Mus musculus: one gene and its partners. The protein of the gene in region 5 binds, or shares a complex with, the protein of the main gene of each other region. Links are inferred from orthologs where the notes say so. Each region holds a gene or a part of one and is shown on either strand. Other genes may lie near its edges. The genes, in order: Ints4, Ints1, Ints7, Ints9, Ints2, Ints6 and Ints12.

Region 1 (3,715 bases), on a different chromosome or scaffold from region 5:
GGGCTAGAGTAAGACTCTATCTTGTAAAAAAATGTTCTTTTTTTTGCCAATCAACACCAACTTCCTTGTAAATTCTGTAAGTTCTGTAAGAACTGAAGAACTGTGCTCTGACTATGCAGCTTTTAGTTGCAGCTTACTTTCATTCTGTAGTATGTTAATGGCGTCGTCCATTATGCAGTCTGGAGAGAATCCTGCCGTCTTTGATAATAATCCCAAGAGTGATGCAATTTTCAGTCTCACAGATGGATCATTTTCCTAGAAAAAACAAAAAACAGAAAACAACTGTCATTTGATGCTCTGCTCTCAGCTATCAAACACACAGGGCACAGGCAACTGACGTCACAAAGGATATCCAAAGATCCAACTATTCCAGAGCTTCATTTCTGAAAAATTAACTTCATACACCTCAAGAGATAGCCTTGCTCCATCAATGTTATACTCAATACTGCAAATGGAAATGTTTATGTCTTCTTGAAGTAGTTAACTTTTAAAATTAAAAATGTGCACTTGACACTAAAATATCTTATCTCCACTACTCAGTCAATGTTGGATGTCATAGCCATATCCCCACCAACATGGCTGATACTGGGCAGCCAGCATCACTGCTGGAATGGACGGAGAGTGGGAGCTAGGGCAGCCACTGGAAAGAACCCTTCACCACTGACTCTGTGGACCCCCAGATCCTGAGTAGAAGGCTGGGACAAGCAGTGCACCTGACTGAGGCCAGACCATGTGCCTAGGCTCTAGCTTCCAGGGAGAAGGGAAAGGAGATGCCTGGCCATTTTAGTGTAGAGTCAGAGGCTAATCTCGAAGACTGCTGTGATAAGTCCCTTTCTGTATTATATTGTATAGTTAAGTACATGGCACAATCCCAACATTGAAAGATGTTTAATGAATATATATGAAATTGGATGGGGTGGGAGGGGTCTTGTCAGTGTTGGCATTAAAGTTACTACCTTTCTATTCCAATGACAAAAATATTTAATTTTGGTTGGAAAATCAACTGCCATCCACATGTGACACACACACACACACCCACACATACACACACACATACACACCCCTCACCTATATATTTTTGGTTGTGGTTTTATTTTCTATTTCCTATTTATTATTTGTGTATGTGTGTGTGTGTGTGTGTGTGTGTGTGTGTGTGTGCGTGCGTGTGCATGTATACATGTACCATACAAACTTCCAGGAGAGTCCTCTGCTTCTGCTTTCTTTCCCTCCATAGGTATGTTGGAATTACCAATATGCCACAGTATCCAGTCTCTCTCTCTGTCTGTCTATCTGTCTCTCTCTCTCTATCTCCCTCCCGCTTACTTGTTTTCTATCTATCTATCTATCTATCTATCTATCTATCTATCTATCTGTCAGTTTTTCAAGACAGGGTAGCTGTCCTGGACTGGCCTCCAACTCTCAAACTCGGTGAACTGCCTGCCTCTTCCTCCTAAATGCTGAGATTAAAAGTGTGTACCACCACTGCCTGGCCAGCACCCAGCTTCTTTATATGGGTTCTGGGAATTAAATTCAGGTAGTCAGTTTTATACAGCAAGCACCTTTCCCTGACTGAGCCAGACTCACTGGCCTGGTTTTGGGTTTCCTGAGACAGGTCTGCTTCTATAGTTCAAGATGGCCTGAAGCTCACTGTGCAGCTCAGGCTGACGACAATCTCTCAATCCCCCTGCCTCAACTTTCCCAACTCTGGGATGATAGGCATGAACTACCACCAGCTCATTTAGTTTCTAAGGAAGCACCAGATACAACCAGGCCTAAAGCAAGGGAAAGGAAAACAAATATGTTCAGAAAACCTAAAATCCTGCATGCTATGCCATTTAACATATACATTACTTTGGGAACACCATTTTCTATAAAATTAATCTGAATGTATAAGTACAGAGAAAGAGAAAGTGGTTAAAACCAGCCAGAGCTATATAAAGACAAACTCATTACAAAAATGAATGTAAATAGGAGCTAGAGAGATAGCTAGGCAGTTCAGAGCACTTGTTGCTCTTTCAGAAGACCTGGGTTTGATTACCAACACGTAGATTGCAGCTCACAACTATTTGTAACTCCAGCTCTAGGGGATATGATGCCATCCTGGGCTACACAGCAAGGCATTCTATAAAGAAAAAAATGCCACTTTGCTTTAAAAACAAACTAAGAGGGTTATCCCAGTAGGCATGAGGGCCTTAAATTAAACCAGGAACACCAGGATGATGGGCACGACACTCCAGAGGTGAACGAAGCAAGGAGACATGGCTGATACTAAGTCTTCCTCTGCGTTCTCGCTTCACTCACACAGAGCTCACAGTACCTTAAGCAAGTCATTTGCATACCTATCTCCTCTGACTACCCTGCAAGCTCCTGAGGACAGCACTTACCTCATTCTAATCTTGGTATCCAGTCCCTTCCTGCTTCTGCAGCATGGACCCACTCTGCAGACACGGTATGGCTCTGACAAACAACCCACCATGTCCTCGAGGCTTTCTTACCTTGTAATAATGTTCCAAGAGAATCCTGACTACCCCCTCCACACTCTCTGCTTCTACAGGCTTTCTGGCAAACTGGAGTAGGTACTGCAAAGCATCTGCTGGGGAGGTGGCTTTACACAGATCTATGTGGAGAGCGGCAGATTTGCTCGGCTTTGTTAATCGGAGCTTCTTGGTAGCAATTTCCTCCTGCTGCTGCTGTAAGACAGTAAAGACGGTAAGATGTGAAAACAGTCTGTAAATTTAACTTGTGTTCGTTGTATGGAAATAATTTTTCCCTTCTAACACATATGCTTAGCTAATAGAACTTAAGAAACACAGTATCCAGAGGCCAGCAGGTAAAAGTGCTTGCTGCCAAGCCTGATTATGGCCTGAGTTCCATCACCAGAACCCACATGGTAGAAAAAAAGCCAACTCTTAAACATACACACGCACACGCACACGCACACGCACACGCACACACACACAATACATAAATGTTTCAAAAATATTTAAATTTGTATAGAAGGGAACCTATCACTATAGGTTCCTTACGTCCTGGCACAACGGGCAGACATAGAAAACAAACTATAAGATAAATGTCATACTCAATATTTTTTTTTACTCTTTAATATAGTATTTTAGTGTAGGTAACAATCATTTCCCTCCAATTTTCTCTATCAGGATGATTATAGTCAGGAACACTACATAACATGAAAAAAGCAGCTTTGAAGTCAAAAGAATTGTACACTGCTAGCAAGGTGAAGCCTTCTCATCTATAAATGGCATTCCAAGACCATTGGGGGGGGGGAATAGGTGAGAAACCTAAAGCATCCTGTATTTACTGTACTGTGATAAGCACTAAACACACATCAGTTCCCGCCCCTTCCTCATCTGTATAACAAAGAAAAAACACCAGGAGTACTAAGATCTCATTTTATCACTCTATGATAACTCTACATACACAATTTAAAATACAAAATTAAAAAGTTAGTTTTTCCAACAACTGAGGGTACACACCTGTAACCCCAGCACTCGGGAGGCTCTAAAATAGATTTACTTGGACTGCAGCTGGTGCAAGAGAGAGGAATGGTTTTTCCCTAGAGGGGATACGTGAAGAAGGGAGCAATCTCTGCCATTGTCAATAGCGTCTTATGGAGCCGGGCCCTGTTATTGCTGCCACCGAGGAACACACACTGGCAGGGACATACATACAGACGCTGTCCGTCAGGGACAGCAGCACT
Region 2 (3,715 bases), on a different chromosome or scaffold from region 5:
CCATGGCCACACACCTACTGCCAATGCCACGGCCATACACGTGACCAGTCCCCAAAATCACAGCACATACCTGGTCCTCAATATCACTGCCACACACAAGCCTGACCCCTACAATGTCATGTCCTTAGGCTGCAACCCAAGCCTACTGCTGCCTGAGTGGAGCTGCCTGGCGGAGCTGGGCCTGCTACAAGCAGGATTCCTCATGCTGACCCTCCCAGACGTCAGTACAGGAATGACAAGGCACCATCCCCTACACTAGCCACTGAGCAGCTCACCGCGACAGTGGACTTGCTGCATTCCCCACGGGCCAGGCCCACATCCACTCTACTCTCTCCCTAGTCGTTAAGTGTTCGAGCTGCCCAACATGTGTGCACAGGCTCTGTCACCCTGCCCATGTGTTCCCATGGTGATAGTGATGGCTAGAAGCACATTGCCCAGCCCAAGGGAAGACGCTGAGACCTGTGAACAAGGGACTTGGCTGCAGAAATGGCACACAAGGAGGCAGACACCAGGGAGTGTATACACAGTGCCGCCCCGGGCTGAAGGACGCTCACCCACTTACTTGGTCATCACCATCTCCATGAGCATCTTCAACGTTGGATACTCCTCCCATGCGGCCAGGCCTAGGGGACAACAGGAAGTTGCCCTAAGGACTCACACCAGCCTCCCTCACCCCCAGCCCCCACCCTGCGTCCTAGCTGGTGCTTCTCATAGGCTCTGGCCCAGAATCTATTTCCACGGCCTGAACAGCTCACCAATGTTCTCTGGGTTGAAGGCAGCGACAACCAGCAGTAGGGGCCAAGCCTTCCAGTAGAGGGTGGAGATGGCAAGGTTTGGGGGCTGATACCTGGAAGGCAGGGCAGTGACACTGTGAGCTCGGTGCCCTGAGCTCAGGCCAGGTCAGTTCTATTCCCTAGAACCCAAATACAAACACCAGACAGAGTGGTCCACGCCTATAACCCCAGTGCTAGGGTGTGTAGACACAAAGCCCTGGACCCCGCTAGCCAGCCAAACTGAGGAACTCCAAGGGGAAAAGTAAGAGGCCCTGGCTCAAACAACAGGTGAGCAAGATGGCTCAGTTGGTGTCATCAAGGCTGAGGGCCTGAGTCTGATCCCCAGGACACAAATGGCAGGACAGGATTCCCACAGTGTCCTCTGACTTGCACATACAGGCTGTGGCACATCTACTTGCGCACACACACACACAGCTTAAAACCAAAAAAGCTAGATAAATGGTTCAGCAGATAAAGAGACCCACCACCGGGTCTAAAAACTTACATTCAAATTTACACACACACACACACACACACACACACACACATATGCTCAGACTATAGATCAGTAGCAGTGTTTGCCTAGTACACACAAAACTCTGGGTTCAACTCCTAGTACTGAGAAAAAAAATTTAAAGAAGCCAGACATAGAGGTGCACACCTTTAATCCCAGCAGCACTCAGGAAGCTGAGGCAGGTGAATTTCGAGTTTAAGGCACCTGAGCTACACAGTAGTGAGAGACCATCCAAAAGGGAAGATAATAAAAAAGAAAAGCCCTCAAAGTCTGAGGCTCCAACCCCCTCCACCCCCCATCCCCCCAACAAAAAAAGCTACTGGAGAAACAATCTCTCACACACGAGAATAGCAGGAAGCAGTCGTGGGCCTTGGGACCCAGCTCCCCCTCAGCCTTGCTGATGGGCAGGCCAACCTGCTGGGAGGCGGGCCGCAGCCTTACCCCGGGGGCAGCTGGATATTCTCAGGATGGTGGTAGGTGCACAGGTTCAGAACCGCATCTATCAGCTGGATCCGCTCCACCTTCAGAACTTCCACATCTGAAATCCAAAGATACCTGGGTTCCCGAGTCTGGCCCAGCCCACCCCATGGGCAGCTGGAAGGAAGTGGGACGAGAGACTGGGACGGCTCCTGGTGGTGTGTGAGTATGACTGGTACCACAGCATGACAGGCAAGACACTGGCTCTGCAGGTGGCAGGACCCCTGACAACAGTGAGGGTATGAGATCGCTTTTGTGAAGGGCAAGGCGCCAGGGTGTTACCATCAGCCTGCACAGCTGCGGCTCGCTTCACAAGGTGGTCAGCCAGTTCCATGGCATCTGCAGGGCCAAGAGGCAGCTCTCGGGACAGTCCAATGACCAGGACTCTCATCAGCGTGTCCTCCAGAATGGGGACCTCTGAACAGAGGCGCAGGAAGAAACTGCAGGTGACATTAGGAGACAGGTGGTAAGGAGCCACCATGATCTCCTGTGGCCACCTTCCCGAGGGTATAATCTTCCTTAGTCTAGTGGCCCGTGTAGGAAATGCACACTAGTTCCCGGCCTTTAATGGATAGGGAGAGAGTGGGAAGCCACTGTCACTCATTCACGAGTGACAGTCAGGCTGCACACAACCCTGGCGAGCAGCTGGCAAACATGGCAGCTAGGGTAGGTAGCATGCTTGTGGTACAACAGGACAGCAGTGTCTAGCAGCTAGACTGACAGCAGGACTGGAGAGGCCATGTCTCAGAACACACAGGTAACCAGTGGGTTGGAAGGGACAGGGTCAGTCCAGGAAGGACAGAGTGGGAGCGGAGAGGAGTTCCCTGGGGGTGTGTCCAGGGAAGGGGCAGGAGTGTGAGGCAGACACCACTGCAGGAGAAGAACAGTACTGGGTTTTCAGGGTGGGGCTACCCGCCCAGCATCTGCTATGCATGTGCCCACAGGCTGCACTCTGGCTGCCTGCCCACCCCAACCCTCACTTGCGGTCGCTCTCGGGTGGCCAGTTGTCCCACTTGTAGTAGGTCTCGGGCTGCTCGGTGAAGAGCACCTTGTGGAGGCTGCAGGGACAGAGCAGGTGTCAGTCAGGATGCAGCTGTGCAAGGAGTCTTCACCCTAGCAGCGCTGCACAGGGACCATTTGGGCAAAAGCTACTGATGGAAAAGTACTGGGGCTTCCCCCCCCCCCCCGACTCCTGAGCCACCTGCCCACAGTGGCCACTAGTGACCAAGAGAGGGGTCGGTTGGGCCTCTGTGAGGAGAGGTGGCTCACGTGTGGCTCTCAGGCTCAGGACCCTTCCTTCTGTCATCAACCGGTGTTGGGGCTCTAAAGGCATGCGGACAATGATTGCCTTGGAGGTGATGGCTCCCACCTGAAGTGTACCCACACAGGTGACACAGCGAGGCTGAGAGACGGTCTGCCTCTTACCAATGCACATAATCCTTGGGGGCGAGTTTGCTGACGGAGGGGACGACAGTGTGAAGCCACCACACCGCATCCCGCTGGATAGCCGCAATCTGGTTCTGGAACGTCCGGAGCACCTCGAGGTCTAGGGAGTGAACAGGCTCCTGATGCCCCGCAGCCGTGGACTCCAGCAGGCTGAGCCACTCTGGAGACCACCCCTGCTCCCACCCAACAACCAACAGGATGCCTGAGTGAGTGAACACGCTCCAAGCACAGATGACCCTCTCAACCAGACGGCAGGAGGGGACCGCTGCTTCTAGAAAACCCACCTCCTCCGGCAGCCATGCCGGGACCCCCACTCACACCCCCACCCTGCCCTCGGTTTCCAGGGACGTGCAATTACTCGAGGCCTGGTTTTACGTCCACGGCTGACAGTGCCCCCAGCCAGCAGGGCCTTACTTCTCTTCTCTCCTTTGTCCCAGGCGACTCCAGCCTCCTTCACCTGGGCTGTAATGCCCAGCATCATGGACACAGCTAGCACATCCGTGAT
Region 3 (3,715 bases), on a different chromosome or scaffold from region 5:
ACACGTAATTTTATTCAAAGACAAAGACAAAAATTAAAGATCAGCAAAACAGAAGAGAATTTAGGGCCACTGAGACGGCTCATCAGGTAAACATGGCTGCTGCCAAGCCTGATGACCTCGGTTCAATACCTCAGCCTTCCACAGTGAAAGGGAAGTTGTCCCCAGACCTCCTCATGCGCTTATGCACATCACACCAAATAGCTAAGTACGATACAAAGGAACAAAGTGGACTTACCTTCTGTTGATATTTCATTTATCATGTTTAAGTCATTAAGCAATGTATTCCTTTTACTCAGAGCACTGCTTATAAAGTAACTAGGAGAAAAAGGCTCACAATTAAGGAAAAATGAATTATGATATAGTCACCCAGTGAAATCCATCAGTGAAATAAACCCAGAGATCAATATAAATTACTAGCAAGGAAGGCAAACGGTGAAAGTTGACTGGCAGCATAACCTCTGCACAAAGCTAAGACATGCAAAGCAATGCATATGCTGAGGTCACCCAAGTGCAAGTGCAGTGCACAGAGGAAAGACAGGAGGAGGAGTTAACATAGGGAGTGTGATGGTTCACCTTCACTTTCAATTTGACTGGATTTAAAATTACCATGTATGCTGGATAGCTGTGTTAGGTTAAAGTCATTTGAGAAGAGGGAACCTCTGTAAGATCAGGTTGTAGACATACCTGTAGGGTAATTTTTTTCTTAATTAGTGATTAATGAGGAAGGGCCCAGCCCATTGTGGTAATGCCATCCCTGGGATGTTGGTCCTGCGTTCTATAAGAAAGCAGGCTGAGCAAGCCATGAGGAACAAGCCAGTAAGCAGCATCCCTCCATGGTCTCTGCACCAGCTCCTGTCTCCAGGTTCCTACCTGGCTTGAGTCCCCACCCTGATTTCCTTCAATGATGAATAGCAATGTGGAAGTGTAAGCCAAACCAACCCTTTCCTCCCCAACTGGCTTTCTGGTCTTGACACTTCATCCCAGTAACTAACACCCTAATTAGGACATCATGGGCTCACACCTCAGGTTTCTCCAGAGTTTCACCAAGGTGGGATGACTTATCCTCAGCAGGGACAGCACATGCCGTGGCTGAAACCCTGGACCGATGACAAAGATTACACACGGGGTGCTCATCATTCTCTGCTTCCTGGCATCATGTGATATGGCCACCCTGTGAGGCTCCGGTGGCCACGCCCTCCCCGCCATGCTGGACAGAGCCCTCTCAGACTGTGAGCTCAATACCACTCCTTCCTGAAGCTGCAGACAGGGTGGAGCAGAGCTGGGGTAGATTTAACTCTATACCTAACACTGTTCTCATCTTTTTTGAGACTGGGTCCAGCTGACCTACAACTCACCATGTTGACCAGGATGCCTTCGCTCTGCATCCCTAGTGCTGGATGAAAGGCATGCATCACAATGCCCGGGCTAGCATTGTTTCCTTCAGCAAAGTCAGATGCAAACATTTTACTGTATTCTTTCTTAGATTAAAAACAAAAAACCCCTCGTGTTTTCTTTTTAAAATTGGCTTTAGTAGTGCTAATAAAAAAGGACAGAGATCACTAGCTCAAATGCCACTTCAATAAAAAACAAACCTGGCTGACATACTATACAGCAAGCCAAAGACTTTGAAATATCCAGCTCTAAACAGAGTGTTTCCATCAAATCCCTCCCTTTATGTCTCAGAGAACCCTCAGAAGAGGAGACAGAAAGAATGTAAGAGCCAGAGGGATGGAGGACAGCAAGGAAAAAAAGGTTGTCTAGACCAATATGATCAAAGCACACATGAATTCAGGGTCCAAGGCAGCTCGCAAGGGTGTGCACGGCTAAGGTTCTGCACTAGATCCTTTGTGTGTATGTTATGGCTTCTAGTTCAGCATTTTTATCAGATTCCTAAGAGGTTTAACTTTTAGAAAAAGCTCCTGGTAGCTGGGAACAAAGACTCACGACTGTAATCCCAGCCAGTGCTTGTGAGTTCAAGACAAGAGTACTGCCCTGAGTTCAAGGCACACCTGCACTACACAGTCACACTCTGTCTCAAAAGAAAACAACAAAAGTTACTGGTACTGCCTTAATTTTAAATATTTTTTGTAGTACTGTGATGAAAGCTAGGGTGTTCTACATGTTGGGCAAACACTGTACATTGCACTATATCCCCAGTCCTGCAGAATTACGTTAACCTGTTTGCTTTTCAAATAAAGTCCAACATTAGTGCTGGCATTCTTAGGTATCTGCCAACAGACTAGTTCCTAGTCATTTACAGCAGGAAAAAGCAGTTCCTTACCAGAAGTTCCTGTTGCTTGTCTGTGGCTGATCGTCCAATCACCTTGTAGAGCTCCACGAGGTCCCCAAGCATTCCATCGCCCAGTACCGGGAGCTGCATGGCAATGGCTGCCAGGCAGTGGCACATGAGGATCCGGGCAGCATCCTGAGAGCTGTGCAGCTGAGTTAGCAGAGTGTCAACCACTGACCTGCTCAGATGGGGCCGGCCCTTGGCCAGCTTCACCATACAGCTGAGAGCACTCTGCAGAGAGAACAGCCTGGTTACCCCTGAGTGGAGGACTGCCGAGCCTGCACTGAGGCTCTCGCTTCAGTCCCCAGTACTGCAAAGGGGCAAGAGGGAGAGTGCACTGCTACACTTTAAAGAGCACCTTGTTTAAGTTATGGGGACTCACGGGCACGTTCTTTGTAGGTTCACCATTTTTCTCCATAAGCAACACAGGATTCTGAATCCCACACCAGTGAAGTGTGCTATGCTTAAAACATGTCCAGAATTTCAATAGGCAGATGAAAATCATGAGGCTAACCCTAAGGAGGCAGAGCTACAGCACTTCCCAGGACCTGCTTCTGCAGAGTGCTCGGAAACCACCCACAGCAGAACTCAGGATGGTGACGGACGCTAGAATGTTTATGAGGCCACTGCTCCGCATAGCACATGCATGTTCGGTTTACTGATGACTTGGTTTCAGACGCCCTCAATGACTTTGTGAGCATCAGTATGGGAAGACGCTTCTAATTTTCTCTTATTTATTGCTCAGCTGAAAGTTAAGAGCTGACAGCTGCAGATTTTCTCTGTTGGGCCTACTTTATGACCTATGTGTTATCCTAGCTAACAAAACTAAAAACATGGATGCCTCTCACTTTCCACCACTGATTTATGTTTCTAAAATTCTCCCTCCCATTCTTCTACAACACCACAAACGTCCCACTAGTTCTAATCTCAGGAAAAGATGGGCCCATCTGTCTTTCCTTCGTACTACAACCACATAAGCTGCCAGTGTGCTGAGAGGCACACGCAATGAACACAAAGTGGACCTTAGCTGGAGCCCACATCAGCTAGGTGGCTTTCAACAAGTTGAAATATATATACACGTCTTCAACAGTTGGGCACACACTACACAAACATAACTACAACAAAGGCAAGACTGTCTCCACTATCCTAAAATTCTAATGTCTCCTCACTCCCTATAAAGTCAAGTCCGCATTCTTTAACACATCTGATGGCCTCCATACTTTCCCTCTCACTAGTCACTCGATGCAGTCCTTTCAATATGAATGGCACATCCTACTACACATGGAGGAGCCTCTAACCCTGGAACCTTCCTGATCCTCTATGTACAGCCCACTATACTAAGTCCAAAATCTTATTAAAATCTGTAATTGTTGGCATCTTCAGAAACAGGGCACAGAGGCTCCTGTTCTGGAACTGACCTGAGAG
Region 4 (3,715 bases), on a different chromosome or scaffold from region 5:
TCTCCTCCTCCTCCTTTTTTTTTTTTTTTTTTTTTTTCCAAGACAGGGTTTCTCTGTATATCCCTGGCTGTCCTGGAACTCATTCTGTAGACCAGGCTGGCCTAAAAATCAGAAATCCACCTGCCTCTGCCTCCCAAGTGCTGGGATTAAATGAGTGCGCCACCACTGCCCGGCTAACACCACTTCTTTGAAGCAGGGTTTCATGTTGCTGAGGCTGGCTTCAACTCACTATGTAGCTGAGGCTAGCTCTGAACTCTGGATTTTCCTTCCCTCAGGGTTCTAACTGCTGAGATTGCAAGCATACACTGCTACCCCTGCTCTCTTATTACTTCTTAGTTCTTGTTCTCTTTTCTGAAGATTTGCTTATTTTCATTTTATGTGTATGTGTGCTCAGCTTGCATGTCTGTCTGTGTAGCACATGTGCAGTGCACAGCCTGCAGAGGCTGAAGAGGGCCTACCATCCCTTGGGACTGGAGTTACAGACAACTGTGACCTGCCATGCAGGTCCTGGGAACTGAATCTGGGTCCTCTGGAGCAGTACTCAGAGCTCCTCCACTCCCTTTTTTAGTTTTGATAAATGTGTTTGCCCTGAGCGATGCTAACATTGGGGTAAAGTAGGTGAAAGGTGTCCGGGAACTCTATTGTCATTATGGTTTTCCGTAAATCTAAAATTATTCTAAGGTACAAAGTTTATTACTTAAACTGAAAGAAATCCAAGATAAAATTAAAAAAAAAGTATCAAACTGGGAAAAATGGCTAAAGTATGTTAACAAAAAGTTAATATCTTTAATATATACACAGAGTTCAAATATGTAATAGAGATATAAAACCTTTAAGAGGTAAATGGGCAAAAAAGGAATAATTTACATAAAAATATTTTGGCAAGTAGTATTAGATAATGAACATTAAAAATATTCCTACCCTTTATTCCAGTAATTCCACTTTTAGTAACTTACCTAAGGCAAATGCTATCATCATATATAGACAGAATAGTTTCAATTTAAGATTTATTCTTAAAAGGAAAAGCCCTGCCAGCCAATGAGAAGGTAATAAGCTAAGTATATAGATGTGAGTGATGTGAGGAGACAATACTGCAGCCACGTGCGCTGGCCGTGTGCTCATTGTATGCTGTGTGCTCCCTGTATGTTCACTGTGTGTTCACTGTGTGCTTACTGTATGCTCACTGTGTGCTCACTGTATGCTGTATGCTCACTGTATGCTCACTGTATGTTTACTGTGTGCTCACTGTGAGCTCAATGTGTGCTCACTGTGTGCTCAATGTGTGTTCACTGTATGCTCACTGTGTGCTCACTGTATGCTCACTGTGTGCTCACTGTGTGCTGTGTGCTCACTGTATGCTCACTGTGTGTTCACTGTGTGCTCACTGTATGTTTACTGTGTGCTCACTGTGAGCTCAATGTGTGCTCACTGTGTGCTCACTGTATGCTCACTGTGTGCTCACTGTATGCTCACTGTGTGTTCACTGTGTGCTCACTGTGAGCTTACTGTGTGCTCAGTACGTGCTGACTGTGTGCTCATTTTTTTCTTTCAAAGAAAGAAGAGACAAGGTATGGGCTGTAGCAGTCTGGCCTTGAACCTGTTCTCCTCCTGCCTCAGCTTCCCAAGTGCTGGGAAAACAAACATTTGCTGCTCTTCACAAGGTTTCATAATGGTTTAGTGTTATTGAATGTTTTCTGCTACATAAGCACTGCACTACTGAGCTGCAACCCCTTTAGGAAAACAAAATCAGAATTTAAAATTAAGAAGTGAAACTTGACAAGGTGATATCTAAAAAAATGTTAACTACTCAACATGATTTCTAGGTCAGATGGGGTTTATTTGGACAGTGGTGTTGTGGGCTCCAGGTCTCTATTATTTTCTATAACTTGTTTTTCTACATAACATGGCTTGCCCACTTATGAACTAACACACACCTGCAAAACAAACTCACAGAAAGACCCTGCAGGACTCCAATCCCTGTGCTGGGTGACGACCATTCTTGTAGGCACAGGCCTGATATGGTGGGGCACTGTCTACTCAGCCCACAGGGCGTGACCCAGGAGTGTGCTGCAGTATTTTTATTGGGGGTCTGAATGAAAACAAGTTTCTAACATGTTAACTTCATCTGCAAATGCTGCTTGGGGTCTCCTATGTGGGGAAGACACTTGTGTGTAAGGATAAAAACGAGTGAGAAGTAAAGACAAGGAGCAGTCCTATTGACCAAAGGGAGCAGAGTCAACTCAGGGAGACGCCCACAATTCAATGGGAAGGAAAAACCCACACACCAAAACCAGGAGAGGGGTGAGGGGCATAACACTGGGATATGTTATAACATGGTAATGTAAAAATTCCATTTTCAGGGAGGAACTTAGTAACTGCTGTGTGTCCATTTGGTCACCATACTACTAAAACTGATTGGACATATTCTATTCTGTGTCACATGGCTCTTAAGAATTTAGAAATTACATCTACCTCCACTTCCCTCTTTTGACCAGGGGAGTTAGACTCAAACTCTTCGAACATGGTCAAAGCTTAGTAACCTATGTCTAAGTGTCTGCTCTAGGAGTTGGTCAGCTTCTTGGTATAATAAAATGGATCTTTGATAAACTGGCTATGGAAATAAAGATCTAGCTTTTCTTATCAGATGTAGGTAATTACAACAGTATGAGCTTGGGGCTTTCTTATCCTTTCTTCGTACCTATGCTTCTAAATGCTAGCAATGTATGGGATTTGACTTTCAGTAGTTCACACACATGCACATGCATGAAGTCTTAAGTACTCTTAAGAAATCACAGTTATTTTCATTTTTACTGACTGAACATACTTAAGCAGAACTCAGAGAAAGGATACTACTGACTTACCACTCAGCAAAAATCTGGGAAAACTCGAGTGAACTGTTGGCAACGGGGGAGATGAAGTAGAAAGGGATGTTGGAGAGGCCAGCGGAGTCAATGTATTGATATAAGCACTCCAGGAGGTCATAGATCACGCCTGAAGGATAGCAAGGGACCAACACGTTTCCTCCATTCCGAACTGTCAGAGCTGGAAAAGTTGAGGAGAGAGAAGATGGTACCAAAAGAACAATGTTAGAAAGGACAAATACAACCTTTAAAATGACAATTACATTATTTCTCTTCTCCTGTGTATGATATGATTTATTTTTGAGACAGGGTCTTGCTATGTAGCTTTTGTAAGGTCAAGCTCAACCTGAGCTATGGGATGACTTCTGGCAGTTACATAAAGTTAGTATTTCTCAGAAACTTGTGAAACCACTCCCCATCAACCAAAAGGAGGCATTTCCCTGGCTCTGGCAGAAGGATTAAACAGCTACCCCTGGCTCCAGGTTGCTTCAGTATCCTAAGTATCCACTACACATTTCAAAATCCATGGGTGGTGCACTGCAGTGCTTCTCACTTCCTCCCCCTACTCTAAACATCCTCCAGTCAGACTTCCGTTTTGTGCCACCAGATTCATGTGTTTGAGTGCTTGGCCCATAAGAAGTGGTACTATTTAGGAGGCATGGCCTTGTTGGAAGAAGTTTGCTACTGTGGGGGTGAGCTTTTAAGGTCTTATATGCTCAGGCTTTGCCCAGTATGGAACAGTCTTTCCTTGCTGCCTGCAGATCAAAATGTAGAATTCTCAACTCTGTCTCTAGCACCATGTCTGCCTGCATGATGCCATGCTTCCCACCATGATAATGATAATGGACTGACTG
Region 5 (3,715 bases):
CTGGAAGAGAAAAAGCCACTGCCACTATCTATTGAGACGTGACCCCTACAGGGTTCTCTTTTCCATAGCCAGACATTTCCAAGAGGTCACCAAAATGCAACTCACTTAAGTACTAGTTCCTCAGTCACATTAGCTACACTTCAGTTAACCCACAGGCCACGGGAGGCAGGAGGGGGGGCTGCCAACTGGACAGCACAACCCGGAATACAGCAGATGTTTCCCTGAGTAGTGCTGGTCTAAAAAGCTTTTTAATTAAAATCTTTACATTTCTATATTTTCTTGTTTTTATTTTACCATATATACCTATTAAAAAGAATCTGCAAAAGCAAAAAAGGTACATAAGAAAAATGTATGTTAGTTCTAATAATACATATATGTATTTAATATTGTTGTAATAGTAAGTATATTTAATATCTAGTTTAATCCCCTCATTAGTAGTTTTAATATTAACTAAAACGGAGTTTTTATTTTTCCCCTCTGCCCTTTGCTTTTTGATCTAACATATTATGAACATTTATGAGCTCATTAAAGTTATAAATCATTAAATTAAATGTACACTGCTAACATCTCTATAACAAGGCAAACTGTACAAAAAGTAGACGTCACTGCGTCTCTGATCTAACGCTAGTCATTCAGAATCTGAACTGTCTGAAAAGACGTGAGGCGCGTGGGGGGCGCGTGGGGGGGCGCGTGGGGGGCGCGTGGGGGGGCACGTGGGGGGCGCGTGGGGGGCACTGTGAGGCTGTGAGGCCCAAGCTTCCCATCCCTCCAGCCTTTAATTTAATATTTTAAGACATGTTTCTAGTAAATAACTTTTAGATTTTTAAGGGTTTTTTTGGGGTGAGAAGCACAGTTATTTAAGATATCATCTCGCTCTGTAGACCAAGATGGTCTGGATTTTGACGCAATACTCCTGTCTTAATGTCCCAAATTTGGGACCACAGCCCGTTTTGATAGTCTTTAAAATACCAAATTTGAGCTGGAGAGATAATACTGCTCTTGTTGAGCCCCAGCATCCCCATCAGGCAGCTTATAGCTGCCTGTACCTCCAGTCTCAGGACATCCAGTGCACACCCAGACACAGACAGCTCTGCAGGCTGAGGGGTCACACAGTGACCCTTCCCGAGACACTGTATCTGTACTGAGCTACATCTTGGCAGTCAGTCCGTAAAGTACCTGCTTGTAAGATACAAAGGACATCTGCAGCTTCCTCCAAGTACACTGCACTCTCAAAGAGCTCAGAAGACTTGAAAAAGAACTCTCCATTGCACTCTGACACCTTAGGGAGAAGAAGGAAACAAGGAAGAAAGAACAAGTTTAAGTAAACTGTAATTGTTTTCTTTTTGAGCTCAGAAATCATGGGTTTATGCTGCCATTGAGATGGGGGTCTCACTATGTAGCTATGGCTGGTCTGAACTCAGTACACAGACCAAGCTAGCCTTCAATCTATTGACCTACGATGGCATAAAACACACCATCTTGTCCTTGCTTCTCTCCTGCTGGGATGGAAGGTGTGCTGTCCCATACCAGCCTCAACTCACTACCTATAATATGGCTAACACACGGAGGCAAAGTCTGTGGGATCCTATCAGAATCTGAACAGGTTAACCATGATTATTATCCACACACAGTAGCAGTAGTCTCAGAACTCCATGCTGGCTACTGTATAATCTCAGCATTTGAGAGGCTGAGGTAGAAAAGTCTCAAGTTAAAAGGCCACCCTGGCACCTAGTAAGATTCTGTCCCCCCTCCAAAAAAAAGAAGAGAGGGACAGAGACAGAGGTGGTAAGAGGAATTGATTCCAACCTACATTTTTAGAGATACTTAAAATTAAAGGATAAGGCAAGCTAAGAAACAGTATAGAAATGTTGTATGATACGAGCGTGGTGGCTCACGCCTTTAATCCCAGCACTCGGGAGGCAGAGGCAGGAGGATTTCTAAGTTCAAGGCCAGCCTGGTCTACAAAGTGAGTTCCAGGACAGCCAGAGCTACACAGAGAAACCCTGTCTCGAAAAAACAAAAACAAAAACAAAAAAAAAAAGAAATGTTGTATGTATAAACTGTTGATTAAAAAACCGAATATTGGTCTGCAAGGTGCCTCAGCAGGTAAAAACACGTTGCCACACAAGCCTGAAAAACTGAGTGTGACTCCCAGATCCCACAGTGGAAGGAAGCACAGAAAGAACTCATGAAGGTAACCTCTGACCTCTACATATGTGCCAACACAACCATCATACCTACATTCAAAAACCAAAATAAAAGGACTCTTTTAACTGTTAAAGCAGTATGACAAAAAAAGAATTCATTTACCTCTAGTGATCAATAGACACAAAGGGAAAAACAACAAAAAAGCAAACAAACAAAAAACCCACAAGGAATGACAACGTTGAGCCTGGAACAGTGGTACACCCCAGCAATCTTAGCACACAGAAAACTGAGATAAGAAAAGATTAGAAGTCTGAAGTCATCTGAAGAAAATAGGAAGATAGGTCTCAAAGGGGGAGGGAGCAGAAACTTAAAGACAAAAAAAAACATCAAGACAATAACCTCTATGTTCCTTAAATTTCCTATGGTAATATGTAACAGAATTTCTCACATAGTAAGGCCATGTTAGACATTAAAATCACCACAGAAGAAAATGTCTCTTATCACATCCAGGATGTATTTACAAGAGATGTGGGAAAATTTAAGTGTGGGAAAGTTTCAATTAACCATTAGCCAAAGGTCCATGACTTAAGTTACCTTTGTGTGTGTGTGTGTGTGTGTGTGTGTGTGTGTGTGTGTGTGTGTTATTGTGTACATGTATTTGTGTCCTTCATTCACACTGGTGTGTTTCCTGTAAACCCTGATTTGTCTGTGCATCGCCTGTGTCATGGATGATTGTAAGCCACCAGGTGGGGGCTGGAAGCCATGCCGGAGTCCTCTGTAAGACAATTAGTACTGTTAACTGATAAACCATCTCTCTAACCCAATGGGTCCCTCTTTCTGTTGTTTGGTGTGCACACCAAGGTACCTGGCCTGGAGCTTCCAAGGATTCTCTGGTCTCCCACCTTACCATGGCCCACTAGATTACAGATGTACACCATGTACAGATGTTCTAGAGATTCAAAGTCAAGCCCAACAAAAAGGTGCTATCCAACTTAGTCATTTCTACAAGTGAAATGACAGATGTTTAGGGGGCTGGAGAGAAAACATGGCTCAGTGGCTAAGAGCACTCCTCCCTCTTGCAGAGGATCTAGGTTTGGGTCCTGGCACCAACATCATGGCTCCCAATCAAAGACTCCAGTCCAAGTTATCCTGTGCTCTCTTCTGAGCTCTGCAGACTCCGGGCACTCAGAGAGTACACAGATATATATACAAGCAAAACATTCATGCACATAAAATAAATAAAAATGTAAAAATTATTTTGATGATCTTAAAAACAATTATATCAATTCCGTACACACACAAAAAGAAAATCCTGCCAGGCAGTGGTGGCACACGCCTTTCATCCCAGCACTTGGGAGGCAGAGGCCAGCCTGGTCTACAGAGTGAGTTCCAGGACAGCCAGGGCTACACAGAGAAACCCTGTCTGGAAAAAAAAAAAATACTGAATAGTTGGGTGTAGTGGCACACACCTTTAATCCCAGTACTGGATAGCAGAGGCAGGTGGATCTGGCCAACCTGGGCTATAGGAAAGTCAGAACTATACAGAGAAACTCTATCTCTAAAAATA
Region 6 (3,715 bases), on a different chromosome or scaffold from region 5:
GGGAGGAGGCATGGAGTAGGCTTGCTAAGAAGTGGACGATCCAAACCTCGGTGGTAATTGGGACCACTCTGGTAGATCTGGCTCCTATTTTTCCAGCTATTGTCATCACTCCAATTAAATGGCTGCAGCTAACAGACAGTGTAAACTGGCCATTAAGTCTGGTGTTTACTTGATAGATACCATAGTGTGGGATGTTAGAACTAGATCATTGGAACATTGTTGAAAGTGACCTAGCATGGGCTTAAGCCTCATAAAGAAGAAGGTGGAGGAGTTGCTGGAGTGAAAGTTGGTAGACATTGGTGCTACAGAACTTCATAAATTTGGAGCATGCAAGGGGAGTGCTTGGGGTCCTTGTTAAACTGCTTGTTATCATGCAAGTCAGGACTGGGCCACAAAGGAAGCATTTCAGAGGCTTTCCTGAGGCTTCCTTGTAAGAACCTCCTAGAATGTTAGGAGGGACTTACGAATGTACAGTGAACGAGGTGCCAGAGCATGTGCACTGAACTCAGTATGAAGAGAATTGTTCAAAAGTGCAGGAGTTTTTTTGCCTTTTTTTTTTTAATGGTTTTAGAGTTTTATTGTAGAAAGGCAGAGAGAAAGAGAGAAGGTAGAAAGAGAGAAGCCAGTCATGACCACGTGGAGAGAGGGGGAAAAGGAGAGCTAGAGATGAGAGTAAGAAAGTTGAGAGCGTAAGAGCTTTTTTTTGGTTTTTCGAGACAGGGTTTCTCTGTGTAGCCCTGGCTGTCCCGGAACTCACTCTGTAGACCAGGCTGGCCTCAAACTCGGAAATCTGCCTGCCTCTGCCTCCCAAGCGCTGGAGTTAAAGGCGTGTGCCACCACTGCCTGGCTGCTTTTTTCTTTATAAAGAATTAAATACAAGAGATTTTAAAATTACATTTAAGAGGTGAAAGAGTCAGTGACTATCTCACTTTTACACTCATGAGAAAGCAATTTCTACTCCACATTTGAGAAGGAGAGAAGTGGCTTGTTTGTTTTATTTTTTAAATAGGAGAGTGTGGTTTTCATTAAAGCAGAAATTACCGTGATTTTCAGCCTTAACCTTAGACAAAGGCTGAGAAACAGTTGTGGAGAATAATCAGTGAAGAAGTGTTTTCAAATCATGGGGTATAATTCAGAAAGTATGAGAGAGGGAGATGGAAGGAGTAGAAACCAGGTCTTTACATTGAGAGGTAGAATAGAAGGGTTTAGCTGGTGCCCTGGAGGCTGGTGAATAATCAAACTTAGGGGTCATGTCTAAGAATCTTATATTTATTGGCAAGCTAGTAAACTTTTGGGTCTGCTGGTCTAATGAGCTGAAGTGGGCACCAGATTACTTTGCATGGCTAGGAACTGAAAGGATAGATAGAAAACAGTGTGCTCTGAAATGTAATGTGCCTTATTTGGTGTTCCTTGCAGAATCTTGAGCAATAAACACCACTCAGTGTTTACTTTTCTCTTTAAAGAATAACAGGTTTATAAAGATAAGTAGGCTTAAGATGAGGTAGGTAGGACTCTTAAGCCAAAAATGGCAATTTTAGTGGTGTATAAACTGAAAACTGGTTTAGTTACTTTGCTAAAATAAGGTAGAAAACAGGCTACAGTTGTTTCTATTTTAAATATGTCATAAGTTTAAATTTTAGTTATTTGTAGTAATTGTGTTACTTTAGCATTTTTATTCTGTACTTTGATACCAGATCTCACTTTTCGTTCCGTTTCTTTGGTTTCATTTCAGAAGCCACTAATGATTCAATAGTAGATGATGTGGTTGAAAATCATGTTGCTGACCAACTTTCATCAGACATGACACCAAATGCTATGGATACTGAATTTTTAACATCTCCCCCTAATCTTTTGGAACCATCAACCAATCATACAGAGGCCCTTGGTCATGAACATTTAGGAAACAATGACCTCACTGTTGGTGGGTTTTTAGAAAATCATGAGGAGCCAAGAAATAAAGAACAAAGTGCCGAAGAGAATATACCAGCATCTTCACTCAACAAAGGAAAGAAATTGATGCATTGTAGAAGCCATGAAGAGGTCAACACTGAACTAAAAGCACAAATAATGAAAGAGATCAGAAAGCCAGGAAGAAGTATGTATAATTAGAGACAAAACTTACTAATTTCTTTGTCTTCAATTAGGGAAAACCAAGTCAAATCAGTAAAAGCATATGTATTATGCTAGATTACTCATGAAGTAATATCTGAATTCTTTAAGGTTTAATTTCAGATTCAGCTGGAAAACACTAAATAATCTTGGTACTCAAGGTGTTCTAGTATGGGTGGTAGATAGCAGAAAGTCTTTATCTAGAGATGTAGTACATGTACTTGCCATGACAGGGGCACAGAATCTTGACTGTTCTAACTAGGAATTGAAATTTTACAACAGCTAACCCAAACAGATAGGGTGGATAATACTACATGACTTGGTGTTCGGTTAACAGTGTATCTAAGAGGTAGAGCACCTGTATAGCCCAAATTCAATTCTCAACACTGTCTTGTGTGTTTGCAAAGTTCCTCTCTACTGACTGTCACTATGAATGAATTATGATAGTGACCTTCATCATGTGCTTAGGCTCCAAACCAAAGTCGTAAGGCCATCACATGAATGCAAGAGAACTCTCGTGGTACAAGAATTGTGCATAATATTGGCATCCATTCAGAACATAGCTGACTCTGCTGTGGTGGTGTAATAAGAAAGTGGAAGGGTCTTGAGCACACACACATACAAAGTGCTTAGAAGGTTTTATTTTTGGTGATACATACTTTCATGCACATACATGTTAACAGTGGTCTGTAAAAGCTTTGAAGAGTGGTAATATTTTTATGTAAAATATTTTTTGTCTGAGTATAGAGGCAGTTAATTGATTTTCCTTCTCTCTCTTTTTTTAAGAATATGAAAGAATCTTCACCTTACTGAAGCATGTGCAAGGCAGTTTACAAACAAGGCTAATATTCTTACAAAATGTCATTAAGGAAGCATCCAGGTAAAGAAACTTGTGTGTTTCTAAACAATAATGAAATAGTTTTTGGTTTGCATATATACTTGAATTGCATTAGTTAGGCAGTTGGGTTTATGTATGTGCATGGATTTGATTAATTGAAATGTGAATTAGCTTAAAAGAGGAAAAAATGGAAAAAAGTTGCACACGTCCCTTATCACTCAAAATATCAATGTAGAAAGGTAAAAGAAGTTAAAGATGTACAACACCACCAAAAAGCAATGGAGAAATTAATCAAGAATTTTAGAAGAATATAATAATTTACCAGGGAAAAGTCCATAATTTCTCAAGGATTTATGTGCCTACTTCAGCTTGGGCACACTTCTACTTGGAATGCTGAAGATAAGGCTATGTGTTTTCATATAAGTTGAAATACTTAAGTTATTCTACTTTTAATGAAAAGTCTGTTCTGTCTTTTGTTCAGTTCAAAGCATGCCTTGAATTTTTAGTGTTGTTCATTTTTGAGATAGCATCTTCCCACATAGCCAAGCTAGCCTCCATCTTAGGTTTCTTCTGCCTTAGTCTTCCAAATGCTGGAATTATAGGTATGTGCCCACATGCTAATGCATCTTGAATCTAGTTGTGTTCCTTGCACCTGCCTTTCTGTAAGAAAGTAGTAGGAATAGAATGTCCAGAAATATTATAAAGAGCATAAATGATATTTATGATTTTATATATGATTTTAGTCTACCTATATTTGTTACTGATAAA
Region 7 (4,257 bases), on a different chromosome or scaffold from region 5:
ATAAGAAAGATTTAGAGACCACTATTCTAAACTATCCAGCAACTTCCAATTTCCCTTTTCTCCCAATACATCATGGCTTCTTTAAAGCACAGATGCTCATCCTGCAAATCCATCCAGTGTTTTTACTGAGCTCAGCCCTTCACCCTCCTCAAACTAGCTTTATTAGCCCAGTCATTAATAACACATTCCTCTATAGTTCCTCCTTTTTCCTCAAGCACTATCTATCTGTCTTTACTATTCTCACTAATGACATCATGTTTTACAGCTCCCAACACGGAAGTGTTCCTCTGACTTGTTCCATCAGAAAAGCTATAACAGTACTCAGATAGAACCTCTTCTGTATTGCTCAGCTTAGAAATTCCATGACTCCATTTATCAACCTCTGACCTCAGGGGTTTATTTACATAATATTAGGGCCAGGCCCTTCTTTCTCTCTCCCTGACATTACCTTTAATTAAGCATATATTATGATCTTCTAAAACATTTTATAAATAATTTTATTTAGTTCATTAACAGAAAGCTTCATTTTCAGCTAGTGAAATGTGAAGTCTGCTACACCATTCTCTATGACTACAATCAACAGCCTCCTTCTTTGCAAACTATATCTTCCTTTTTTTTTTTCCTTCTCCACTGTTTTAACTCAAGAAGATATCTGGGGTATTATAAGACAATATTTTTTTTAGTTAATTCCCTCCCCCCCCTTCTTTCTTGCTCCTATTTCTTTTTCAAACCAAAGAGAAGCAGTAGGTGGCATAAACAATGTACATGTAAATAGAGAACAGGAAGATAGATGAAAGAATATGTTAAGTGTGAGTTTATTTTAAAAACCTAAGCACTGTTTAAAACAAAGAAAGGAAGAAAATGAATACTTATTACTGTAAAACTATCAATAACCTAGGATGTGGCAGTGATAGCTAGCGCTGGTGGGAGGGATGGTTGGGGCACACCAGGAAGTACCTGTAGCTATGCAAGACACACTGCAACTGCCAGCCTACACAATAATCTCCCCGCATCGCTTACCTCTGTTTATGGCAGTATGCTATTCCCTTCCTGTTCGGCTTCCACTCTAGAACAAGCCGTTCCGTGACTCTCTTCCAGTTCTCTAAGCATCCTTATCCCACTGCTCTAAGGTTTACCTACTGTGTAGACATGCTTCTATTTGGCATCTTCTCCCGTCTACACCCAAACAAGTGCCACTGAAAGAAATACCATATTCTCTTCCAGGTTATTAGTCCTATCTAGCATGCTTCACACTTAGCATTCTCATGCTTGTTTGGTCAACTCACTTCCCATCTTTCCAGAAAGAACAATTACATTTTCCTACTGAACAGGACCTCTTGCAGCCTCTTGACTCTTTATTTCTCCAAGTCAGTTTTAAGTCCAGCTTCCCTTTTCCAAGTCCCCTTCTAGCTCTAGCTACTCTCCCCTATTTTAAGATCAGGTGAATACAAGAGGGATACTTTGTATTTTTACATTTAAGTTGGTATTGGACCTCTCTTTCCCTGGCTTTCTCATTCTTGCCACTATTGTTCCAATGCTCTGTCTTGCTTTAGTCTCACTACCAATTTGTTCTTCAGCAGTCATGAGCATTTTGTTGTCAAATACCATCTCAAGGCAGATGACTCTGTATGGTTTTTCTCTCACTTCCTCTTATTTCTCTGTTACTCTGAAAACAATGACCAGACTATTATATTCAGCTAACTCACCGAAGTCTAATATTCTTGTCTTTTACTCTACACAGTTCTAGTCACTTCAGCAAAAGGCATTCATGAAATGCAACTGTCTTTTCCTCTCAACATAACTCAAACACAAAAAAGCAAGACAATCGTCTATTTTATGGGTAGGGATGTGTACAGTGCTCTGACCTGCAACATTCACTTTCTACTCTTTCATTTGTCTTTAATTATTAATCTCACTAGTGTATAGCTTTTATGAGAGCAGAAGTTTATGAAGGGGGAATGTGAGGGGGAATGCAGGAATTTCCCTGGCAAGTAGCATTTCACAGGTGTTTTTAAAAAATATTTATTGAATCAACTGGATTTTTGCCAAAATGGTCCTTTTCAAGGCTGCTGTGATGTCCCCAAACAAAATTGAGCACCCCTACCTAAATAGATGCTTTCTCTCAGATCTCTTTCACCCTGCCTACTAGTTTCAAACAAACTTCTAAGTTGATCACCTGCTAGTGCATGAGATAAAGGAAACTGCAGAGAGTGCAATACTCATTACAACACTCGAGACCATCCCATTCGTGTTTCTGCAAGATTCTGTAATCCTTTCCAATTAACTTCTTCTTTCCATTTAGTGCTTCGCCTTTGGGGAAGTCTGGAAACTCAGGATGTAAAAACCCCAATTCCAAAACAAACCCAAGCGCTAGAGAAGCTAAGGAGAGTCAAGAGACACTTCGAAATGCCAATTCTTTGATGGAATCAAAACACACTGGGGGCGGCCTCGAATAGGGGTAAGTCCTTCTCAAGGAGGCCAGAACAGAGATGTAAAACGGGAGCTGTACAGAGGTCTCCGGAACCCTCGGTCAAAGGTCTTGGACAATTCCACGGTCCCGGTCCCCCGGGCCACCGTCCTCGGCGCCCTCCTCACTCAGTCCTTCCAGACTAGGAGGAGCGCTCAGGCGGAGCCACGCAACCACCCCGCAAATTATGAGGTCTCCCCTCCAGCAGGGAGGAGACCGACAGCCCACGGAGCTCCGCTCCGGCCGCCCCTCGCGGGGTCTCGAGCCTCCCCCCGAGGCGCCAGGAAGCGGGGACCCTCGTCACCACTCACCGCTCCGCCCCGCCACTCGGTCGGTTCCCGGTAGCTCTCTTCGAATCCGTCCCCGCCCTCACCAGCTTTAAGAAGAGAGAAACAAAGGTTCCCGCAACAGGTCGGAAGGGGAACGTTTCCGAGTGAGACAGCAGGAAGTGACGTAGGGCACTCCTTCCGGTCCGCCGGATTATGAATGGCGTTGGGCGGGGGACGCGCAGACACGTTGTCTCTTCCTTCTTTTTGCCCCCTTTCCCCTGCTCAGGGCCTCGCTGGGAGGCGAGTGCTCCTCCTCAGGCCGCGGCTTCCAGAAGTAGCCTCGGAGTCCCGGCTCGAGCTGGGCGGGAAGGCGCGGTGGCCCGCGTCGTCGCCCGCATGCTCCCGCGCCCTCCCTGCCTGGCCGCGCCCCTGCGACCAGGTAAAGAGGGCGCTCGGGCCGCTCGTCCCCCCGCCGCCTCCTGAGATCCGCGCTCGCCCTCAGGGGTCGGCGGGGCTGGGCTTGGAGGCCAGGGTGGGACCGGTGACGGCTCGCAGCCCTTGAGAGTCTTGCCAGCCCCACATTCACCGCAGGCTTTTGCTGTGGGTGCAGATGGACGGGCTTCGCGCCGTTCCGCTGAGTGACGCGTGGGCCCCTCGGCTGCGAGCCATCCCTCTAGTCTTTTCCCTGCGTGGGTAGAGCAACAGGGCAGCTTTGCCTGGTAGGGGGTTGTGTGGTCGTTTTGAGTTAAGTGCAGGAAAAAAGACCTCTTGGAGCACGACTTAACTTTCCCCAAAGACATAGTTTTACGTCGCAGCCCTTCCTGATTGGACGCTGTACATGCGTACTATTTTACAGTTAGGATCTGCTGCATTTGGGGACATTTGCTATCCCCACCAAAGCAGCGTTGCCCTTCCATTATTAGCACGAACAGAAAGCTTGAGTTTGCACGAGAACTGCTTTGGCTTAAATTAAAAAAGAAAAAAAAAAAAAAAAGAATACCCTAATACATACCTCTCTAACTTTGACTGGGGAATTACACCACCCCATCTCCATCCCCCGCCATACTCACCACCAAATCCTTTGTCATAAATTCCTTAAGGTCAGAAAAAATAAACGAGTGTATCTCGTACCACATTATTGCTAAAGATGGTGGCATTTGTCAAGTTTCCCTCGTGCTGTCCCACAATTTAAAAAGCAAGAACTGGAAGTGACTTTAAACATGTAAATATGGTCTTGAAATGCCATGAGAATAAACTGTTACAATACAACTGATTTGCTGTCATATTTAGTAGATCAAACTTTAAGCTATATGAGTGTTAAACTGCACTTTGAGGAGCATACACTGCCATTGACGCTGCTGAAATTGTGACTCAATCATTTTAAAGAGGCCTAACTTCAAAAAGGAGATTGAGGTTTGAACGTTGTTCTATAGTACTAATGAAAAACACCTTTAAACTAGTAAGGGGCCATGAAGGGGTGGGCTCTCAAGGAAGGGAAAATGGGATGCAGTGAGGTCCGGG

What was found.
Region 1: Ints2 (region 5) and Ints4 share a complex: the UniProt entries of both Homo sapiens proteins name them as parts of the integrator complex. The link is inferred for Mus musculus from reciprocal best matches to the Homo sapiens genes INTS2 and INTS4.
Region 2: the proteins of Ints2 (region 5) and Ints1 are in contact, whole or in part, in a cryo-EM structure (PDB 8RC4), measured with the Homo sapiens proteins. The link is inferred for Mus musculus from reciprocal best matches to the Homo sapiens genes INTS2 and INTS1. Residues at the interface, in NP_065799.2 of Homo sapiens: Pro40, Leu54, Lys69, Leu72, Arg73, Leu75, Ser76, Gly77, Val78, Glu79, Val81, Asn82, Val85, Gly125, Thr127, Leu128, Glu131, His132, Glu166, Val172, Tyr173, Glu176, Arg322, Gln325, Gln326, Arg329, Gly400, Lys402, Thr769, Met772; in NP_001073922.2 of Homo sapiens: Gly561, Ile562, Ala563, Trp564, Asp565, Lys566, Gly567, Ser982, His1055, Met1056, Thr1058, Pro1060, Glu1095, Arg1096, Thr1098, Ile1099, His1102, Leu1107, Arg1225, Ser1250, Phe1251, Gly1252, Ile1253, Tyr1285, His1288, Glu1291, Val1292, Gln1293, Glu1295, Arg1296.
Region 3: the proteins of Ints2 (region 5) and Ints7 are in contact, whole or in part, in a cryo-EM structure (PDB 8RC4), measured with the Homo sapiens proteins. The link is inferred for Mus musculus from reciprocal best matches to the Homo sapiens genes INTS2 and INTS7. Residues at the interface, in NP_065799.2 of Homo sapiens: Gln27, Lys28, Val29, Cys48, Arg51, Met52, Cys55, Ala56, Ala58, Asp59, Gln60, Ser61, Trp64, Phe92, His93, Ala186, Glu187, Pro189, Ile194, Val218, Asp220, Ser221, Asn223, Glu224, Ser259, Leu262, Lys263, Arg265, His285, Gly294; in NP_056249.1 of Homo sapiens: Leu38, Gly39, Glu40, Cys42, Glu43, Val46, Arg47, Asn77, Phe78, Leu81, Cys82, Leu84, Lys85, Gln88, Gln89, Asn114, Asp115, Pro116, Val117, Ala120, Ile121, Arg124, Val153, Glu156, Val159, Phe160, Ala163, Leu195, Lys196, Pro199.
Region 4: Ints2 (region 5) and Ints9 share a complex: the UniProt entries of both Homo sapiens proteins name them as parts of the integrator complex. The link is inferred for Mus musculus from reciprocal best matches to the Homo sapiens genes INTS2 and INTS9.
Region 6: the proteins of Ints2 (region 5) and Ints6 are in contact, whole or in part, in a cryo-EM structure (PDB 8RBZ), measured with the Homo sapiens proteins. The link is inferred for Mus musculus from reciprocal best matches to the Homo sapiens genes INTS2 and INTS6. Residues at the interface, in NP_065799.2 of Homo sapiens: Ile855, Asp856, Pro857, Leu858, His895, Arg923, Glu925, Leu926, Lys927, Ala929, Leu930, Ala932, Ala933, Gln934, Ser936, Ala937, Gln940, Ile941, Glu944, Asn1010, Lys1013, Leu1014, Phe1017, Gln1018, Gly1019, Tyr1020, Pro1021, Ile1046, Ala1047, Gln1048; in NP_036273.1 of Homo sapiens: Ile484, Val486, Arg487, Ser488, Arg489, Phe527, Gln528, Val529, Ala530, Leu531, Leu532, Asn533, Phe541, Arg542, Asn543, Ala544, Tyr545, Ile547, Arg549, Leu552, Leu553, Leu556, Met559, Arg560, Asn562, Leu563, Leu564, Lys565.
Region 7: Ints2 (region 5) and Ints12 share a complex: the UniProt entries of both Homo sapiens proteins name them as parts of the integrator complex. The link is inferred for Mus musculus from reciprocal best matches to the Homo sapiens genes INTS2 and INTS12.

Annotation. Positions count from the first base shown.
Region 1 is NC_000073.6:97,483,892-97,487,606, reverse strand, and holds part of Ints4 (integrator complex subunit 4), read right to left. Parts: intron 2,691-3,715; coding exon 2,496-2,690; intron 256-2,495; coding exon 138-255; intron 1-137. UniProt on the Homo sapiens protein: Component of the integrator complex, a multiprotein complex that terminates RNA polymerase II (Pol II) transcription in the promoter-proximal region of genes.
Region 2 is NC_000071.6:139,765,675-139,769,389, forward strand, and holds part of Ints1 (integrator complex subunit 1), read right to left. Parts: coding exon 3,625-3,715; intron 3,311-3,624; coding exon 3,190-3,310; intron 2,823-3,189; coding exon 2,745-2,822; intron 2,270-2,744; exon of another isoform or gene 2,205-2,269; coding exon 2,047-2,204; intron 1,826-2,046; coding exon 1,729-1,825; intron 848-1,728; coding exon 756-847; intron 624-755; coding exon 563-623; intron 1-562. UniProt on the Homo sapiens protein: Component of the integrator complex, a multiprotein complex that terminates RNA polymerase II (Pol II) transcription in the promoter-proximal region of genes.
Region 3 is NC_000067.6:191,606,626-191,610,340, reverse strand, and holds part of Ints7 (integrator complex subunit 7), read right to left. Parts: intron 2,522-3,715; coding exon 2,282-2,521; intron 685-2,281; exon of another isoform or gene 1-684. UniProt on the Homo sapiens protein: Component of the integrator complex, a multiprotein complex that terminates RNA polymerase II (Pol II) transcription in the promoter-proximal region of genes.
Region 4 is NC_000080.6:65,019,643-65,023,357, reverse strand, and holds part of Ints9 (integrator complex subunit 9), read right to left. Parts: intron 3,043-3,715; coding exon 2,862-3,042; intron 1-2,861. UniProt on the Homo sapiens protein: Component of the integrator complex, a multiprotein complex that terminates RNA polymerase II (Pol II) transcription in the promoter-proximal region of genes.
Region 5 is NC_000077.6:86,251,082-86,254,796, forward strand, and holds part of Ints2 (integrator complex subunit 2), read right to left. Parts: intron 1,280-3,715; coding exon 1,177-1,279; intron 1-1,176. UniProt on the Homo sapiens protein: Component of the integrator complex, a multiprotein complex that terminates RNA polymerase II (Pol II) transcription in the promoter-proximal region of genes.
Region 6 is NC_000080.6:62,694,973-62,698,687, reverse strand, and holds part of Ints6 (integrator complex subunit 6), read left to right. Parts: intron 1-1,732; coding exon 1,733-2,095; intron 2,096-2,895; coding exon 2,896-2,989; intron 2,990-3,715. UniProt on the Homo sapiens protein: Component of the integrator complex, a multiprotein complex that terminates RNA polymerase II (Pol II) transcription in the promoter-proximal region of genes.
Region 7 is NC_000069.6:133,090,498-133,094,754, reverse strand, and holds the start of Ints12 (integrator complex subunit 12), read right to left. Parts: upstream 2,901-4,257; 5' UTR 2,779-2,900; exon of another isoform or gene 2,716-2,778; intron 1-2,715. UniProt on the Homo sapiens protein: Component of the integrator complex, a multiprotein complex that terminates RNA polymerase II (Pol II) transcription in the promoter-proximal region of genes.